Linked DNA regions of Rattus norvegicus. The protein of the gene in region 3 purifies or fractionates together with the protein of the main gene of each other region. This does not show direct contact. Links are inferred from orthologs where the notes say so. Each region holds a gene or a part of one and is shown on either strand. Other genes may lie near its edges.

Evidence for each region.
Region 1: the proteins of Sbf1 (region 3) and Mtmr2 purify together in Homo sapiens (affinity purification with mass spectrometry; 6 studies listed by BioGRID and IntAct, with this or other methods). This does not show direct contact. The link is inferred for Rattus norvegicus from reciprocal best matches to the Homo sapiens genes SBF1 and MTMR2.
Region 2: the proteins of Sbf1 (region 3) and Mtmr1 purify together in Homo sapiens (affinity purification with mass spectrometry; 4 studies listed by BioGRID and IntAct, with this or other methods). This does not show direct contact. The link is inferred for Rattus norvegicus from reciprocal best matches to the Homo sapiens genes SBF1 and MTMR1.

The regions. Positions count from the first base shown.
Region 1 is NC_086026.1:18,930,505-18,934,155, reverse strand, and holds part of Mtmr2 (myotubularin-related protein 2), read right to left. Parts: intron 3,331-3,651; coding exon 3,236-3,330; intron 2,885-3,235; coding exon 2,774-2,884; intron 691-2,773; coding exon 589-690; intron 1-588. UniProt on the Homo sapiens protein: Lipid phosphatase that specifically dephosphorylates the D-3 position of phosphatidylinositol 3-phosphate and phosphatidylinositol 3,5-bisphosphate, generating phosphatidylinositol and phosphatidylinositol 5-phosphate.
Region 2 is NC_086036.1:256,769-260,419, reverse strand, and holds part of Mtmr1 (myotubularin-related protein 1), read right to left. Parts: intron 1,303-3,651; coding exon 1,189-1,302; intron 375-1,188; coding exon 198-374; intron 1-197. UniProt on the Homo sapiens protein: Lipid phosphatase that specifically dephosphorylates the D-3 position of phosphatidylinositol 3-phosphate, generating phosphatidylinositol. Could also dephosphorylate phosphatidylinositol 3,5-bisphosphate to produce phosphatidylinositol 5-phosphate.
Region 3 is NC_086025.1:122,240,434-122,244,084, forward strand, and holds part of Sbf1 (myotubularin-related protein 5), read right to left. Parts: intron 3,649-3,651; coding exon 3,518-3,648; intron 3,448-3,517; coding exon 3,217-3,447; intron 1-3,216. UniProt on the Homo sapiens protein: Acts as an adapter for the phosphatase MTMR2 to regulate MTMR2 catalytic activity and subcellular location. Promotes the exchange of GDP to GTP, converting inactive GDP-bound Rab proteins into their active GTP-bound form.

The DNA.
Region 1 (3,651 bases), on a different chromosome or scaffold from region 3:
AAAGTCTGTACTGTGTGCTCTGACACTGAACAAGCTTTTCATACCCTGCATGTAAGCTTTTTAACATGTAACTAGGAAAAAACTATGGTGTCTCAAAGGATAACTGCAGCCCAGAGGAGAAATTCAGTGCACTGGCTCTGACTGGGGGTGAATGACGCGCTATCATGCAGTTGAGAGAACCTCGCACAGCTAAAACACTGCTACACTAGTGACTGTCCCAGACTCCTAGTCACTGCCAGCTCTCCCCAGGGAGACTTCCAACTCTAATGAAGACTACATAAGCTTTTATCCTAGAAATATCCTGATGAAAAAATATTATATAAGCCAGCCTGTCTCAAATAAAGACACATAAACAAAATCGCTTGGTTACTGATGTGCCTACCATGTATAAAGCCCTGGGTTCAAGCTCCAGTTTGCTCCTCCTCCCAAGAAATCAACAGGTACTTATAGAGTGTCACATAGGGGACCTTAGGCACAAGACAGCCTCTAGCTAAGTGTCAAATCAGGAACATAAAAGGTAGCATCTGGACAACCTAGCTGGGTGTGTTCACACTAACAATTACAATATGGATTAGAGAGAAACATTACCAAGCCGTTAGACACAGGAAATGCATATTTCATTAGATTCTCAAATATTGATCTTCTTGTTCGCCCCTCTGGTTTATGAGCAAATCGTAAATTCCTGATATCCTAGAAAAGATATAGCGTCTAATTAAATCATTTTCTTTCTGTTTAATGAACAAATGAGGTTACTTGGAAATGTTGGGTAAAGGGAAGATCTGCATTTATACAACAACAGCTCCTGCAAACAAAGAACAATGAACTGGGAGCAGAAGAAACCTAGCACACACTACATGGCAGAGAATCTTCCTGGGCTCTCGGCTCGGCCGGCCAAAGGGGAAGAAAATGACCTAAGTACTGACAGAGGCCCAACATTTGTTCTTTTTGGGCAGATGGCTCAGTAGATAAAGTGCTTGTCTCATAAGCACAGGGCGTAGCTTACTTCCCAGAACCTAATTTTTAAAAATAAAAACCACAATCAGTCGTTATCATTTCTATCATGTACAGTGATCATCTTCTTACTTTTCTTCTTCCTAGGGCTCACTTCAAGTCTCCTCTGCTAGACAGGACTGGCCTGCCTTTACTTCCTCCTCCTCCTCCACTGCAATGACACGCCTAGAGCTGGCTGTGCCCACCCAGACTCGGCCTGCACTGGATCCTGGGAGCCCTCTCTGCGTGTGTCCTCAGCCACTTCCCATGCTCAGGCACAGTGACATTAGAAGCCAAATTTATGCTGGCCTAGCACCTAGTAAAAACATTTGACATTAAAAATGATTTTGAAATATCCATTTTTATTTAAGTATTTTAACTTAGGCAAAAGTTGAATTTACTTTGTTATAGTTTCATCGTTGTTGAGATGAGGCTGTACCCTACTCTGTTACTCAGTACTGTACAATATAAAATGATATACTTATAAGAAACAGTTTTGTTGGGGTTGGGGATTTAGCTCAGTGGTAGAGTGCTTACCTAGCAAGCGCAAGGCCCTGGGTTCGGACCCCAGCTCCAAAAAAAAAAAAAAAAAAAAAAAAGAAAAGCAAAGAAAAAAAAAAAAGAAACAGTTTTGTTTGTTTTTAATACTGACACTCCATTTTACAAGCAATTTTAGACTTCATTCCAGGGAAGAAAGACGACTGTATCCTTGAGAGCACCCCGAAATGACACTATGTGTCACACAGCACCCATCCAGCCAGCAGAGTCTGACCAATGGATTTACTCCTGACGGTAGGAGAACACTCCGGTAACGTAGAAAAACCACACACAGAGACAACACATGGTGTATTTTCAATGCAAATAGCTTACTGCAAATCTGAGCCAAATGAGTAGCATCTGTACTCTTCTGTGAAAACACACATCTGTACACTGTGCCCTCCTGTACGTCTCTATGACTAGTGAAGACCCTCAGATCACCTCTTTGGTTAACTGCTCTCTAGCAAAGATCCAACTATAATGGTACAGATCCACAAAAGCAAAGCAAAACAAAACAAAACAAAACAAAAAACCTTATCTACAATGAGTTCAAAAGCCAGCCTTCCTGAAACTTTATGTACTATTTCTTGCTAAAGAAATACCAAGAAGCAAGGTATACGATATACATGGATGAGAGCTAGTATACTCAGAACCTTGACATCAAGACAATACTAGGGGTTGGGGATTTAGCTCAGTGGTAGAGCGCTTGCCTAGAAAGCGCAAGGCCCTGGGTTCGGTCCCCAGCTCCGAAAAAAAGAACCACAAAAAAAAAAAAAAAGAAAATACTAGTGACTAAGTCAATAATTTTAACAGGAGATTCAACAAACTTTTAAGATGAACATATGCAAACACTCTGGATGATATATACTGTCTCTTTTTCTTAGGGCACTGAGAGAATGCAACAGAAGTCATGCGGTCTAGAATTGAGATGTGCACAAGCCAGGTGGTGGCAGCACACACGTGGCAGGCAGAGGCAGGCGGATCTATGAGTTTGAGACCAGCCTGGTCTACAGAGCAAGTTCCAGAACAGAGACCTTATCCTAGAAAACAACAATAACAAAAAAAGAGATGTGCAAAGATGTTGATTAGGTCCTGGTATAAAATGCCATGTGATTTAACAGTGAATAACACTCACTACCCTAAGAATACATTTTTAGTATGTAATCCACTTGGACCAGTTTCCAAGTAGAGGTTCTATTTAACAGCTCTAGAGCAAATACAACCATACCAAGATTGTAAAATTTACCTTGCACACCGTTTCCAGGCCATAAGAATTTTCACCACGGCTAGATGCACCACCGATTTTTTCTACTCTACTTATCACCCCAAGAGAAGCATCTAGAACAAACGGAGGGTCCTGCAAGATGAAAAGAAAACATACAACTTATAAAAAACTGCAAAGTGCTTGAATAACATGAACAGGACCATGGACACCTGCTTCCCCAAAATGTTAAAAATCTTAACCAGAAATTCTTTAATCAAATATTATCCAGAAGTGAACTGGGAGTGGTGGAGCAACCTTTACACCAAGCACTTGGAGACTGAGGCAGGAAGACTACTGAGTTTGAGTCTAGTTTGGTCCCATAGCAAGTTACAGGACAGCTATGACTACATACTTAAGACTTTATGTCTCAAAAATAAATAAGTCAATTAACCAGAAGTAAGCAAACATACCAAACACACACAAATATATAGACAAAAGCCTCACCCGTTCCATGCTCTTGAAATATAATCTGTAATTTGTGACAGTCAGCGTCCCTCGTACAGCACCAGTGAACGGACATATGTAAGTCACATCTTTGGCTGAAAAGACAAAATAGCCATAGTTTACTTGACACTATGTGCTGTTAAAAACAGATTACGCATTTTATAAAAGTAATTTGACTGCTTGGCTAATTGTAACAAATCATAGAATAAATGGTGTAAAAAAATCCTTCAGAAGCTTAATCTAAACTTCCAACTTTATCTTAATCTAAGAACTATAGTATCCCTGGCTGTCCGGGAACTCATTTTGCAGATCAAACTGGCCTTGAACTCAGAGATCAGCCTGCTTCCGTTGAGATTAAAGGCGGGCACCACCACCAACTAGCTAATGCAGGGTTTTTCAATCTTAAAATATTATAA
Region 2 (3,651 bases), on a different chromosome or scaffold from region 3:
TTGAACTCTTAACTCAGTAAACGGAGCGGGGTTGGTAACGGCAAAGAACCTTCTAGAACACACAAAACATGGAACCCTAACTCCTAGGGCAGTGCACCCTCAGTACGTCAGCGTCTACCATGAATACATCTTATGACGTCATCCTCGCCCAGGAAGAAAGGTCATGTCCTTATGAGAACGAGAAAACGGAAAATTACCTGCGGCCTCATCCGTGGGTTCCACCGTACGTAGTAATTTACCCACAATTCCAAGCGGCTAACACTCGCGACCGGATACAGCACGTGGTGGTCGTAGCTCACGAAGAAGGGGTTGGAGAATTCGTCGAGTTGGCTGTTGATGTAGGACCACAGCGACAGGGTCTTTGCACAGACGTCCTGGGAACAAACAACCGGGACACGGGAGTGAGTTCCTCACCGCAGCCCCGAGGGCGATTATTATTATTATCTTATTTTCACACAAACGTATTTTAAATAATGAGCTGAGTTCACACACTGAGACATCTGGATGCACACAGCCTCATGTGCAGATGTGCTGTCCCCAGAAACAGCACCAAAGTGAGGCAACACCTGGAAACTGGCTGCAGGGAGGAGGGACGAGAACTTTCTATATGAATGGCCAATATTTGTTAATTCCTGTGTGTGTGTGTCTGTGCATGTGCGCACGTGTGCGTGTGTGTATGTGTATGTGTGTCTGGGTGTATCTGTGTGTGTGTGTCTGAGGTACCAGAAAAATGGGTGTCACTGGTGCCGTGCGGATCCCACAGGCGTGGGTAAAAGCCTCACCGAACTGAACATCAGCGACTGCACTGCGCTTCCGATGAGCGCATTCACTGTGTCGGCGGAAGAATTAATTTATGTCACGAAAATTGATAAAGATTTTACTCCGCTGTTGTGGGTTTGTTTTGTTCTGCTTTAAACATCTGGATTGATGGATTTAAACATCTGCATTGAGATTCGATTCCAATGCCATTACACCCACCATTCAATCCTCCCTTTTAAAATTAAAAACTTAGCAGAAATAAATAAATATTCATAGGAATAAATAAAACCCTGTTTATTCATATAAAATAAATTAAAATATTTTTTAAAAGTTGATAGTTTCATCAAACCGAGGGACACACGTGGATTTCGCAGTACGCCCGGAATAGCTATGACGTGCGCTGTGAAGCGCGCTGTGACCTGCGCTCACCTCTCTGACACGCTGCTGCTCGCAGTTGCACAGGAAGGTCCCGAAGAGGCAGCTGTACAGGTGATCCAAAATTGCGATCAGGAACAACTCGTTAAACTCGAATGCCGAAGGGAACTGAAACGGAGAGGAAAAATTAAAGTTCATTCTTAAAGTTTAATCACGGAAGCAAAGTCATATCGCTCAATTTTGGGGGTTTTTTTTTTTTTTTGTGGTTTTGGGTTTTTTTGTTTGTTTTTTGATTTATTTCTCTGATGGCCCAGAAGCACCTTGATATCCTCAGTCGTCGGGGAAACGCAAATCGAAACAACCCTGAGATTCCACCTCCCACGAACCAGAATGGCTAAGATTTAAAAAAAAAGAAATCTTGAGTGATGTCAAGGGCTACTGAGGACAGGGAGCAGGAGGGATATTTTTAAATTGCCGCTGGGATCTGGCGGTTTCTTAGAAAACTAGGAATGGTTCTACCTCAAGACCCAGGTATACCACTCCTGGGCATGTACCCAAAAAGATGTCCCACCGTACCGCAGGGACATTTGCCCCACTATGTTCACGGCAGCTTTATTTGTAGTAGCCAGAAACTGGGAATGACCAAGATATCCCTCAACTGAAGAATGGATAAAGAAAATGCAGTTTGTCTACACAGTGGAATACTATGCAGCCGTTAAAAAGAGAAAGACATCATGAATGTTGCAGACGAATGGATGAAAGTAGAGGTTGGGGATTTAGCTCAGTGGTAGAGCGCTTGCCTAGCAAGCGCAAGGCCCTAGGTTCAGTCCCCAGCTCCAAAAAGAAAAAGAAAAAAGAAAGTAGAAAATATCGTCCTGAGTGAGGCAATGCAGACCCAGATGGATGTATACGGTGTGTACTCATGAGTGGGTATCAGCTGTGAATTACAGGTACCATGCTACCATGCACAGAACCAAGGAAACAAAATACCGAGGAAGGCCCAGGGGAGGAAATAAAATGGACATTGGAGGATGGAGGGATAAGGATACCGACCCGGATGTCACAGGATCTCCAACCCAAAATAGATCCTGACTACAAGATGTGCAGGGACAACGATGGAGCCGAGGCCAAGGGAACTTACAACCAGCCCAACCTGAGACCCATCCCATGGGTGAGAACCAGCCCCTGAATCTCGTGGAAGAGTTAGAGGATCCAGCGGGGATCGGAACCCCAGAAGATCTGCAGAGTCCACAAACCTGGACCCTTGGGGGCCCCCAGAGACTGAACCACCAACCAAAGAGCACATATGTGGGCTGCACCTATACCACGCCCTGCCCCCCGACACACATACCCACACACCCACACACACACACATAGCACACGTGCTGCACCTACTACGCCCCCACATAGCACACACATATAGCACATGTGCAGCTTGGCCTTCATACGGGTCCCCAACAACTATAACCAGGATGTAACATGAATGAATTTTACCAGAGAACAGGAAGGGACCCTCCAAGATCAGCATTTGCCGGATGTGATTTAAGAAGAATAGAGAGCATGACCGGCTCTGCACACATTACAGATTATTCACACTTAAGAACTGTCCCACAAACACAATCCCATGAGCTCGAGCTCCTGAATCATTACCTGTGCGTAAACGAACTGAGTCTAGCAGTATAGAAAAAGGGATTGTAACGTGGCAGAGTTTGGTTTATTCTATAAGAATGCAAGGCTGGTTTAACAGTAAAAAAAAAAAAAAAAAAAAAAAAAAATCAATCAATGTTAAAAAGATTCGAGGCCTTAGGCTGGAGAGATGGCTCAGTGGTTAAGAGCACTGACTGCTCTTCCAAAGGTCCTGAGTTCAAATCCCAGTAACCACATGGTGGCTCACGACCATCTGTAATGAGATTGGATTCCCTCTTCTGGTGTGTCTGAAGACAGCTACAGTATATAATATATATATATACTTTAAAATACTTTAAAATAAAAAAGCTCGCTCTCTTTCTCACTTAAAAAAAAGATGTGAGGCCGGTTTCATAGTAAAAACCAACGTTAAAAAGAAATCAATGACAATATTAAGAAATATTAAAAATATGTATATAAGAAATATAAAAAAAGAAATATTAAGAGATTAAAGAATAAAAACCACATGGTCACCTCCACTGTCTTAGGCAACACATGATGCATTTTTTTCCGAATTTCTGTGAAGCTTATTATTATCACCACCGCCAACAGGTTTCAGCCGGTCACAGCCAGTCAGCAGCCATGCGACATCTGGAAATAATGGCCTCAGCGGCTGGCGTGCACGGAGTTGACTGAGGGAGTGTTAACTGAGATGCACTCTGCTAAGGAAGCAAAGAAAACTGGAACCAACGCCAATGAACATAAGTACGAGAAGTCGGTTCATACCAAGGACGGATTCTTAATATGAAGAAAAAAATATTAATTTCTTAGCATGGATCAATACTAAGTCAGAATTAATATTAATATTGATTAATATCCAGTCAGAACGAT
Region 3 (3,651 bases):
GTATTGTGTGAGGGAGGACAGACCTATGTGTATTGTGTGAGGGAGGACAGACCTATGTGTACTGTGTGAGGGAGGACAGACCTATGTGTACTGTGTGAGGGAGGACAGTCCTATGTGTGCTGTGTGAGGAAGACAGTCCTATGTGTGCTGTATGAGGAAGACAGTCCTATGTGTGCTGTGTGAGGAGGACAGAATGGCTCCTCAAAGTTGACCTCTAATCTTCTACCCTCACACATGCACAGACACACTAAGTAAGTAAATATAATTTCAAAATTTTTTAAAGTATATCTAATTTCAAAAACTTTCTTAAAGTATGTCTAGGGGTGGTCCACTTCTTTAATCCCAGCACTCAGGAGGCAGATGCAGGCCAACGAGGATTATATCGAAAGATAAAAATAAAAGATGGCGTTCCATGGTCTATAAGGATATGAATGAGCACTGACTTTGGTGAGCACACTGCAAGCCAGAAAACAACGTAATGACGCCTCCACTATTCTATCAGTGGGGCTTGAGTGTAAAAACTGACCACATCTGAACCCTGCATTCAAAGAAAATACTTTTAAAAGTAATGACGCGTGGGCTAAGTGTAGACTAGCTCAGTGTTGGAGAAAGCACTTGTTTCCATGCACAAAGCTGGAGTTAATATTCACCACTAAACAAGTCAAAAGAAAGGTGGAAAGAGACAGGTAGGCAAAACCAGGCATTGCGTTTCCCACATAATTCTACCTAACTGGAAGGCTAAAATAGAAGGATCATTTAGGATTAGAGGTTCAAGGCCAGCCTAGGGAAACACAGCAACACCCTATCTCTTAAAAATAAGTGAGAGTTGGGCATGGCAGTTTATAAATGTAATCCTAAAACTTGGAAGGTTGAAGCAAAAATATCAGGAAGGAGCTCAAGTCCTTCCTTAGCTACGTTAAGACGTGTCTCAGAGTTAGCATTAGCTGGGCACAACAGCATGCGCTGTTAACTAGAAAGCTAAGATATAAAGGTTACTGAGCTTGAAGCCAGCCCGAGAAAGAAAAATACATTAGTTCTAGGTTAACTTGGGCTAGAGTGAGACCCTGACAGACAGACACAGACACAGACACACAGACACACACACACACCCTTAAAGATACTGCAGGTAGTCGGGCGGGCAGAGGTCATGGTTCAGTGGCAGAACACTTCATGTACACACAAGGTCCTGGGACTGACTCACTCAATAGACTGCACTACCACAAAGGGTGGGGACATGTCAGATGTAATAAAACTGACTAGCAAATCTGTATTACAAGAAATACTAAAAATTTTTCAGTCTGAAAGGAACTGGTATTGGACTAGATATACAAAGAAAAAAGGAATTAGAGGCCAGACCTAGAGTATGCCTGTACTTGTAAATAATGGGGAGGCTGAGGCAGGAGGATCTTAAATTGTAGTCAGCTAGGACAACATAGATCTTGGATGATGGTGGTGGTGGTGATGATGATGGTGATGATGGTGAGGGTGGTGGTGGTGATGATGATGGTGATGGTGGTGATGATGATGACCAAGTTTCAGCTGTAGCTCAGTGGTAGAGCATTTGCCTGGCCATATATAAGGCCCTGAGTTCAATCCTTAGTATTGAATTCCCTTCAAGAGTATATGAGCATTACCTGGCTTCTTCATGTACAAAGTAGGATGCTGATTTGTGCCTCCCAAGGGAGGGAGTAAACACCTTCCTTTCTTTTGACTTGTTTAGTGGTGAATATTAACTCCAGCTTTGTGCATGGAAACAAGTGCTTTCTCCAACACTGAGCTAGTCTACACTTAGCCCACGCGTCATTACTTTTAAAAGTATTTTCTTTGAATGTAGGATTCAGATGTGGAAGTTTTTACATTCAAGCTCCACTGATAGAAAGCCAAGCAAAGCAAAGATACTGGAGATGGCAGAAATAGAAAGCCTTTCTCTCATTGTGTAACTTCTTTAAAAACAAAGTTGACTAAAACAAAAATAAAATACTATGCGTATTTATGCCGTAGGAAAGCTAAGAGGCCCAGTAAAATCAGATCAAGACAACTCTTCTGATTTCCACACTATCATTCCCTGTACAAAACTACCCGCCCACAGGTGCCCACAGGTGCACACAGGCGCACTCGAGGAATAAACCCTTCCGATCAGGCCCTATACTGGCTCATCCAAACATATTTCACATTTACTCCCTCCCTTGGGAGGCACAGATCAACATACTTTGCACAAGAAGAAGTCAGGGGATGCTCACTTAATCTTGAAGGGAACACAGTCAGCACAGAGGAGTGCAAACCTCTTCTTACTTAGGACTTGGGGCTAAGTCCTTCTTAGGACTTCTGACTGCTCAACCCCTTTAATGAGCCACTAAGGGAGGCCATGCCACAGACAGAGTCTGTCACTGTACATTGCCTCAGCTACCACAGAGCATCTAGCACAGCTCACTTGACCATTTTTTCTTTCAAGGGATCTGTGCCTTGAGTCTGATTCCTGAACAGATAGAGCCAGAAAAGATGGCAAATTGAAGGCAAAAGTGATTCCCTAAACTCCAGGGCTGGATCCCAGGAGAGCTACTGCTCACTTTCAGGCATGCCAGACAGACAGCTGAGCAGACAGAGAGTGAGTAACTCCTGGGACAACTCTGCCTGCACTGACACCCAGGTACTGAAGTGTGCATGTGGTTTGACCTCAAGGTACATGTGTGAAAGTAAGACTAGTCCCCGAGTAGCAGATTAGGTAGGAAGTGATGAATCTGTAAGAGGTGGGGTCTGGTGGAAGGTCTCTGGTCATAGGGAAGGTCTTGGAAAGGGTGAGAAAATTTCTTGGGAGACCGCCATGATGTGGCCCAGCCCAGACACTTCCTAGAACTGAGTACATTCCCTTGAGCCTCCAGAACTGCAAGCTAAATGAATTTCTCTACCTTGTAAACTAACATATCTCAGTATTTCCTCACAGCGACAAAAAGTGATTAATATACCAGGTAAAGGGATACACATATGCCAAGAGCAAAACCCAAGTCTTGAGTCTTGAGAGTTTCTGACAGATGCTTTCGCATCACTATCTGTAAATATCTATTAGCACGAGACAAAGACCTAAGACCCACAGCTATCTGAAGTATGTAAGCAGTTCACACAGTGAGTGAAGTGAGAGCCACCCCCAGCTCTCAAGGGGAGCTGCTGACACACACACACATGCACAGGCCTTCTCCTGCTGCCTGGGACAGCACACACCTCCAGCAGACGTGAGATGGCATCAGGCTGGACTCGAGGGCGGCTGTCATAGCACGGCCAAACCACACGGCGCCTGCTCTGGGGAGCACCTCCATCAGGACGCTCCTCTTCTGGAGGCTCAGGAGGCCCCTGGGCCAGCTCCCAGTCATAAGGGGGCCCCTCAGCCAGCGTCTCCTCAGTGTAGAAATCCCACACCTTCAGGTTGGACACATTGCTGTAGGGCCGCAGCACCTGGGGAAAGTAAGCCTCCATAAGAAGCCCGGCTACGTGGGAGCCGCCGCCCCAGCCAGGCCCCACTCACCTCTGTGTCCTCAGGTGCATATGTGTAGTTGTAGAACATGGGGGTCCTCTTGCTTAGCCGGTCTACATATTCCCACACAGACTTGCAAGCCAACTGGCCTCTGCGCTCACCCTTCTCCTCATACAGCAGTCCTA